Linked DNA regions of Canis lupus familiaris. The protein of the gene in region 1 binds, or shares a complex with, the protein of each later gene. Links are inferred from orthologs where the notes say so. Each region holds a gene or a part of one and is shown on either strand. Other genes may lie near its edges.

The links.
Region 2: POLR2E (region 1) and ERCC2 share a complex: the UniProt entries of both Homo sapiens proteins name them as parts of the TBP-based Pol II pre-initiation complex. The link is inferred for Canis lupus familiaris from reciprocal best matches to the Homo sapiens genes POLR2E and ERCC2.

Annotation. Positions count from the first base shown.
Region 1 is NC_049241.1:58,128,311-58,132,645, forward strand, and holds the start of POLR2E (DNA-directed RNA polymerases I, II, and III subunit RPABC1), read left to right. Parts: upstream 1-1,519; 5' UTR 1,520-1,596; coding exon 1,597-1,653; intron 1,654-1,876; coding exon 1,877-2,051; intron 2,052-3,297; coding exon 3,298-3,413; intron 3,414-3,825; coding exon 3,826-3,906; intron 3,907-4,335. UniProt on the Homo sapiens protein: DNA-dependent RNA polymerase catalyzes the transcription of DNA into RNA using the four ribonucleoside triphosphates as substrates.
Region 2 is NC_049222.1:110,896,010-110,899,572, reverse strand, and holds part of ERCC2 (general transcription and DNA repair factor IIH helicase subunit XPD), read right to left. Parts: intron 1,927-3,563; coding exon 1,857-1,926; intron 1,773-1,856; coding exon 1,703-1,772; intron 1,604-1,702; coding exon 1,502-1,603; intron 379-1,501; coding exon 315-378; intron 1-314. UniProt on the Homo sapiens protein: ATP-dependent 5'-3' DNA helicase. Component of the general transcription and DNA repair factor IIH (TFIIH) core complex, not absolutely essential for minimal transcription in vitro.

The sequences.
Region 1 (4,335 bases):
CAAACAATGACATTAGAAGGTGACAGGGTGATGGAAGAAGTAGATGGGAGGTTTTCGGTTTCAAACAGGGGGACTCGGGACGCCCAGGTGACTCAGTGGTTGAGCACCTGCCTTCGGCCCAGGGTGTGATTCTGGAGACCCGGGATCGAGTCCCACATCGGGCTCCCTGCGTGGAGCCTGCTTCTCCCTCTGCCTGTGTCTCTGCCTCTCTCTCTCTCTGTGTCTCTCAGAATAAATAAATAAAATCTTAAAAAAAAACAAAACAATCAAGGGACTCAGGGAAGGCAGGGAGCGAGAGGGCTGGCAGGAAGAGGTCAAAGGAGAGGGAGCAGCTGTAGGAATGTCAGAAGAAGGGCGTATCCACCAGAGGGTGCAATGTGTGCAAAGGCCCTGGGGCTGCACTTTGCCTGCTGCGTTGGCTGCAGGAGGCCCCGGGGGAGGGGGGAGGGGAGGTCAGAGGCTGTCGTGGGGCAAGCCTGGGGCACACCTGGGAGGCCTCGTTGATTGCCTTGAAAAGCCGGGGTTTTCCTTTGCTGTTGCTGCATTTCAGCTGAGAGATGGGGGAGGGGGAGAGGAGGGAGAGGGCCACAGATGGGGGCTCACGTCGGCGCCTGCAGTTCTGAAGGTGGAGGGTTTGCAGTCGGACAGGATGGACAGGATGTGGAGAAGGGGCAGGACGGAGGAGCGGAGCTGCCGGCCCAGGGCGGACAGACTAGGGAGAAACGGGTGTAGACGGCAGATAAGAAAAAACGGGCTGGCGGAGGGGGTGCCTGGGGGGCTCCGTTGCTTAGGCTTTTTTTTTTAATTCTCGAGAGACAGAGACAGAGAGACAGAGAGAGAAAGAGAGAGAGAGAGAGGCAGAGACACAGGCAGAGGGAGAAGCAGGCTCCACGCAGGGAGCCCGACGTGGGACTCCAGGTCTCCAGGGTCACGCCCTGGGCTGCAGGCGGTGCTAAACCGCTGAGCCACCCGGGCTGCCTTTCTTTTTTTTTTTTTTTTTTTTAAGACTATTTACTCCTGAGAACCGCTGGGGGAGAGGCAGGCTCCTGCGGGACCCGATGCGGGACTCGAGCCCACGATGCGGGGATCACACCCCGAGCGGACGCTCAGCCACGGAGCCACCCGGGCGACCCGAGGCTGCTGCGCAGTAAGGCGGCGGCGACGCCCAGCAGCGGGATGCGTACCTGGTGGGGGGCCTGACAACATGCCCTGCGCCCCGGGGAGGCGAGCTGACCGCTGACCCCACCCTGGCCTCAGTTTCCCCGCCCACACCTCGCCTCCGCCCTTCCGGATTCCAAACTCCCCACCCACACGGGCATCGGGCGGAAACCACAACTCCCGACAGGCCCCGCGGCCGAAACCCCGCGACAACTGCCGAGGCGAGAGTGGGCGGTCCCGTTCGCTCGGCTCTGGCTCCGCCCACCGCCGCTCGCAGAAGGCCCGGGCTGCCCTCGGCGCTGCCGCCCGCGAAGGTCTCTGGAGTCCGGCGTTCGCTGTGGGCAGCCCCGCGCGGGGCTTGGCAGGGCTCGGCGCAGGCGCAGTCAGCGCGGGCCCCTGCCGCGGGCTCAGGCGCGCGGGTTGCGAGCGGCGGCCGCCATGGACGACGAGGAGGAGACGTACCGGCTGTGGAAGATCCGCAAGACCATCATGCAGGTGAGCCCGCGCGGTCAGGGCGGCGGCGGGCGCAGCTCGGAGCTTCCGGGCGCGCTCGGCGGGTGCGTCCCGGCCTCTGCGGCCCCTTCCTGTGCGGTCCCCACGCGCTCGGAGGCGCCGGGCCGCGGCCCTGTCCGTCCTTCTCCGCGGTGACGTCATCCGGCCGCGCCCCTCCCGCCCCGCCCTCTGAGCCCGGGGGTCACCCGGCTGGTGCTCCCTGCAGCTGTGCCACGACCGCGGCTACCTGGTGACGCAGGATGAGCTGGACCAGACGCTGGAAGAGTTCAAGGCCCAGTTTGGGGACAAGCCGAGCGAGGGGCGGCCCCGGCGCACGGACCTCACGGTGCTGGTGGCCCACAACGACGACCCCACCGACCAGATGTTTGTCTTCTTTCCAGGTGAGGGTCGCGTGGGTCCTGGGTGGCTGCGTGACCCCTAGGAGTCCGCAGCCCTCGTGCAGCCATCCAGGGACGGTGTCTACACCCGCCCTCCCGAGTGCCCAGCCTGCTGCGCACGGTGCCACGGGGTGCTGATGGGAGCCCTGGGTTCTGTTCCCCGCTGACTGTTCGTTCAGTGCAGCCGGATTGTCGCAGGCCTCCCGGGGGGCCCAGCCCCCTGCCCAGAAGCAAGGGCGTCGGAAACCTTTGCAGGAGGGACCCTCCTGGTGCTCGTGCAAACAGCGTCCCCGTGTGTGGGTCGGCCTGTGGCAGGGCCCTCCCTGGAGTGGGCCCGGGGCGCCCGTGTGCTCCAGTGGGCCACAGAATGGGACTGAGCGGCCGTGCTGGTCCACCTGGACCGCCGCGACTGGGCGCCGCAGACCGGGCGGCTTCAGCAGCAGCCTGACCTCTTCCGGGGCTGCAGGCAGGACGTCTGAGACCAGGGTGTGCACGGGGCTGGGTCCCCCTGAGGCCTCTCCCTGGCGTGCCGGTGGCCGTCTTCTCCATGAGTTCCCGAGGTCGTGCCTCTGTGTGTCTGTGCTGTTGTGTCTGACTGAGGTCCATCCTGACAACCTGGTGGAATCTCCTCTTTAAAGACCTCAGTTCCAAGTACGGTTGCACCCGAGGTCTCGGGGGTTAGGATTGTAACACGGGGATTCCGTGGGAAACAGCTCAGTCCCTGACGCTGCCCGTCAGGTGAGCAAGGGTCCGAGGGGAGTGCTGTGATGGGGCAGATGTGGTGCACCACACGCACCCGTCCTGGCAGCAGGCACCCAGTTGCTCACCTTCCACCAGGCTCAGAGGGTCCCGCAGGTCTTGGCCCCTGTACTGTGGTGAGCGTGAGGGTTCCCACCGTGGCTGTGCAGGGAGGGGGTTTGGTCCTTCAGGTCAGCTGCTTCATCTGGGGATTCCAGACATTGCACCACGTAGGTCCCCAGATTCAGCTTCCAGGGAGGGATCCACCAAGTGGGTAGATGCAGGGCACCCATCAGCTCCGTGGGGGCTGGGGGGGAGGACTGGCACCCTGGTGGGTTCCCTGGGGCCCTAGAAAGAGGGAGCTGGTCCAGAGAGGCACTGCTACACCTTGGCAAGGTCAAGCTGGAGCCCGCGCGCCTAGCAGGGTGGAAGTGAACGAGCAGGTGAGTGAGCAGGGCCCTTGGGGCAGGAGGGACTCTTGCAGTGTAGACCTCGTGTGTTCTGTCCCCAGAGGAGCCTAAAGTGGGAATCAAGACCATCAAGGTGTATTGCCAGCGGATGCAGGAGGAGAACATCACCCGGGCCCTCATTGTGGTACAGCAGGGCATGACTCCCTCCGCCAAGCAGGTGGGCACGCTGCTCGTGTTGGCCGCACGTCCTCATGGGCCCCAGGATCTGGGGATCTGAGAAGGAGCGGCTCTCCCGTGTGGGCAGAAGCCAGAGCAGGGAGGTGCCCTGCATGGGTGCCAGCATTCCTGTGGTTAACAGGTCCGAGGAGGGGCTGCTGTTTGGGACGGAGGGCCAGCTCTGTGCGCTCGTCCCTGCAGGGTTCTCTACGTCACACCAGCACAGGGACAACTGCAGGAGCATTTTGTTAGGTGTCACAGTTTGTGTCGGGTGGTCTCTTCCTCCCAGAGGAGCCTTACTGACCTGACACGTGGGAACCCCCTTTGGCTCCCACCTGCCCTCAGCCCCTGGGAGAGGTGGGGTGGCGGCGTCTTGGGCCTTGGCTGTGCGTGAGGGTCAGCCTCTCTTTCAGTCCCTGGTTGACATGGCCCCCAAGTACATCCTGGAGCAGTTTCTGCAGCAGGAGCTACTCATCAACATCACGGAGCACGAGGTGAGGGCCTTAGTGGGGGTCTGCGGGAGGGGAGGCTGGACGGCTGGTGAGGTGGCACCTGCCCGAGCACAGGGAGGGCCTGGGGACGCACCAGGTGCCGCTGCTCCCACTTTGTGGGGAGGAGGAAGCAGAGCCGGAGTCTCAGTGAGGCCCTGGGCACTTGCCAGGTGTGCAGTCAGGCAGCTGGGGGGCAGGGGGTGGGGTCTGTCCAGGGGCCCCTGCACTCTCCAGGTTATACCCCCCCAGGCGCCTGCAGGCCATAGCTCCTTCCCCCCAGGCGTGGAGTCAGGAGCAGGGTGGGGTGGCAGCTGGGACCCTTGGGTGGATGGTTGACTCCAAGGAAACAGCCTGTGGCGCTCTGCTCCCCTTTCCCGTGTGGGGGCGCCGTGGGGCCTGTCACACCCACAGACTCAGTTTCCCCTCTCGACA
Region 2 (3,563 bases), on another chromosome or scaffold:
GGCGTGGCCATGTGACTCGACCTAGCCAATGAAATGCATGAAGTGGCTATGTGTCACTTCCAGGTAAACCCTCGTGAGGCCCAGCACCATTACCAGGATCCTTGCCGTCACAATTTAGGGGACGTGGTAAGGGTTCCTGGAGTGAGAAACCACGGGGCAGGCCCCCACCAGTCCACAGTGTCACATACTGTGAGCAAAAAGTAACCTCTGTGTCAAGCCACTGTAATTTGGGGATGTTTGTTACTGCAGCATGACTTAGCCCACTGATACACCTCCCCTCTCAGGAGCCACACAAACCACCATGAGCAGCATACCAATATCTTCCCGGGTCTCAAATTTAGAGCTAATGGCCACCTGGTCATTGCCACGACCAATGATCTGCAGAGAGCAACAGACGTCACAATAAGCAAACGATAAGCAAACAGCACCATTCTGATGCGTTAGCTGCCTGCCGGTGCCAGGCTGAGCTTTTTATAGACACAATGTCATTGAGTGAACCCTCAGCTCCCCTGTTATCTGCACTGCACGGATGGATGACCTCAGGCCCAGATGTGAGCTGCCTGCCTGCCCAAGGTCACGTGGCAAATCAAGGGCAGAGCCGACACTGAACCCAAGTCTGTCTGTGTTGCTAACCAGCAAATATGTGTTACTGGCCTCAGCCTCCCAGCCACACAGTTCCAGAAGAAAGGGTTCCACCACAACCTCACCAACCGCCAGCCACAGGTGCACCTCCCCTTCCCCCCCTCCCCCCCCCCAGCAACTCCACAAAACCATGATGCAGAATGTGGCCGTCACCAGTCCACAACCCCTGAAGGGCAATTCCAAGACCCAAGGAACTCCAGATATTTAAGTTTGGTGCAAACTCCTATAGTGGCAAAATCTGCCCTGACCTGAGTCTATTCAGAGTCCTGACTTACCTCCCTTAGTTTGACGTTTCAAAACATGTTCCTGCTGAAATAAAACTTTCACTGGAGGGAGCTGCCCAGACCCCACTGGGGATGTCACATACTGTACAGCATGTGGTTTGTCTTTAAAATCTGGAAAATTCTCAATTCTAAAATACATCTGGCCCAAGGGATTCAGATAAGGAATTAAGGGCTCATGTTACGATGCCTGTTTTACAAAGGAGGCTGAGGCAGAGAAGGGTCATCATCAAGGTCATGACCAGATGATGAACCAGGCAAAGCCCACATTAACCAAGATGCTGACTGAGGGCCGACTGGTGCCAGGCTCTGGGCCACATAAGCATCTTGTATCCACTATCTCACTATCACCTCAACCGCCCTGGGAGGTCAGGGAGGATGCATCCCCATGTTACAGGTTAGAAACTGAGGCTTGGGGAGTCAGACCCACAGGAAGCAGTAGCATCAAGCCCAGATCTATCTGAATCAAAGCCTATGCCCTCAGGCTAATACTCTCCTGCCTGAGCAGCCTGAGAGGGAACAGGAGGACGAGAGCTGACACATCTCCCCTGGCCCAGCATCCACCCTCTCCCACGCACCATAGGGCAGAGGCAGACCCGGGCCAGCGTCATGGTGAAGGTTGCCATGGTGACGGGGTGGAAGTCCAGAATCTTGGGGTAGATGTCCAGTGGGGACAGCGTCTATAGCAGGGACAGCAGGAGGGATCTTAGCAGGACCGGGCAGAAACCAGGATCCCCATAGTAGAGGACTGGGAGTTTAGGGCAGATAAGGGTCCTCACCCCAGATGTGATGATGACAGACTGGAAACGCTCAAACACGGGTTTGATGGCCAGTGAAGCATCCATGCAGCTATAGGAAGCAGAGGAGGGTGGTGAGGACCATGCTTGGGCCCCCGTGGTCTGTTGACAGCCTCACACTGCGGTTGGGTCTCACCTGAAGTGCAGGATGGGGTTGGCAATGGTGGGGGTCCTGTCATCAAAGGGCTCGATGATGATGGTGAAACCTACAACCGGGTGAGATTCCAGGTCACCGGTCATAGCCAAGCCCACTTGTCTATTACCTCCTCCCCCCATTAGTGATTGGGGCCAACCACCAGTTGCTCAAGCTTAAAACCCAGTCTTTGGGAGTCCAAAGTACACCCCAACCTGCCCGCTTCTCCCAGGGCTGACATCCACTCAGGGAGCATCATGAGCAGAGAGCACTAAAGGTTTACTCCTCAGACACTCTCAAGGCTCTAAGAACCCACACCACCACTCAAGCCAAAGCCTGGAGCCTTCCATGATCATGGTATCTAAGCCATGGGTCAAGCTCTGCCTCCAAAGCCTATCTGCAATCTGACCACTGCCCCCACTCCCTCCCCCACTATCACCTCTAGCCTGGACCATTGCAGTCACCTCACTGGGCATCCAGCTCTTGCTGCCCCTGCTCCCCTCCCAGAAGCAGAGGGACCCTGTAAAATTCTGATTCAGGTCACATCCCTGCCCTGCTCAGAAGCCCTGCACAGCTCCCCATACTCCTTCCGGAGTCCAAAATTATCTGCGAGAACCCGCCACGCTGACCCATTTTCTCCTAGCTCACAGGCCTCCTAAGTTTCAAAAACCACCAGGCTCACTCCACCCCAGGGCCTTTGTACTTGCTGGCCTCACAGCCTGAAAAGCTTCCCAAGGCAGCTGGTTCCATTTGGTCATTTGGAACTCAGCTCAAATGTCAGCACCTCAGGGCTTCCCTGGCCATCCTGGCCACTGCAGGCATGCTCCAACATGGCAACATTTTTCTTGTGAAAAAGTATCCCTTTCTGGAATTATCTTTTTTATTTGAGTCTTTGTTACTTGTCTTCTCCTCTACAGTGTAACTGCCAGGAGATCAGGAATGGGGTCCCTCTTGGTTTCTGCCACTTCCTCAGTGCTGGGCAGGACCCATTTGTTGAAAAAAAAAAAAACCAAAAACACAGGTGGGGATGCCTGGGTGGCTCAGCGGTTGAGCATCTGCCTTCGGCTCAGGTCTTGATCCTGGGGTCTCAGGATCCAGTCCCACACTGGGCTCCTTACAGGGAGCCTGCTTCTCTCCCTGCCGCTCTCTCTCATGAATAAATACAAATAAAATTTTTCTTAAAAATAGGCAAATGAGGGATCCCTGGGTGGCGCAGCGGTTTGGCGCCTGCCTTTGGCCCAGGGCGCGATCCTGGAGACCCGGGATCGAATCCCACGTCAGGCTCCCGGTGCATGGAGCCTGCTTCTCCCTCTGCCTGTGTCTCTGCCTCTCTCTCTCTCACTGTGTGCCTATCATGAATAAATAAAAATTTAAAAAAAAAATAGGCAAATGAATGAATTCACATATTCAATTTTACTTAATTAAAAAAAAAAAAAAAGTTGGGATGCTTGAGTGGCTCAGTGACTGAGCGTCGGCCCTTGGCTCAGGGTGTGATCCTGGAGTTCCGGGATCGAGTCCCACATCGGGCTCCTCACAGGGAGCCTGCTTCTCCCTCTGCCTGTGTCTCTGCCTCTCTCTGTCTCTCATGAATAAATAAATAAAATCTTAAAAAAAAAAATCCTCTGTGCCTGGCCCTGTACTGGGGACACAGTGGGAACCATGACATCTCTGGCCCTGCCCTCTCAGGGCTCATAGTCCTGTCCCCAGAGA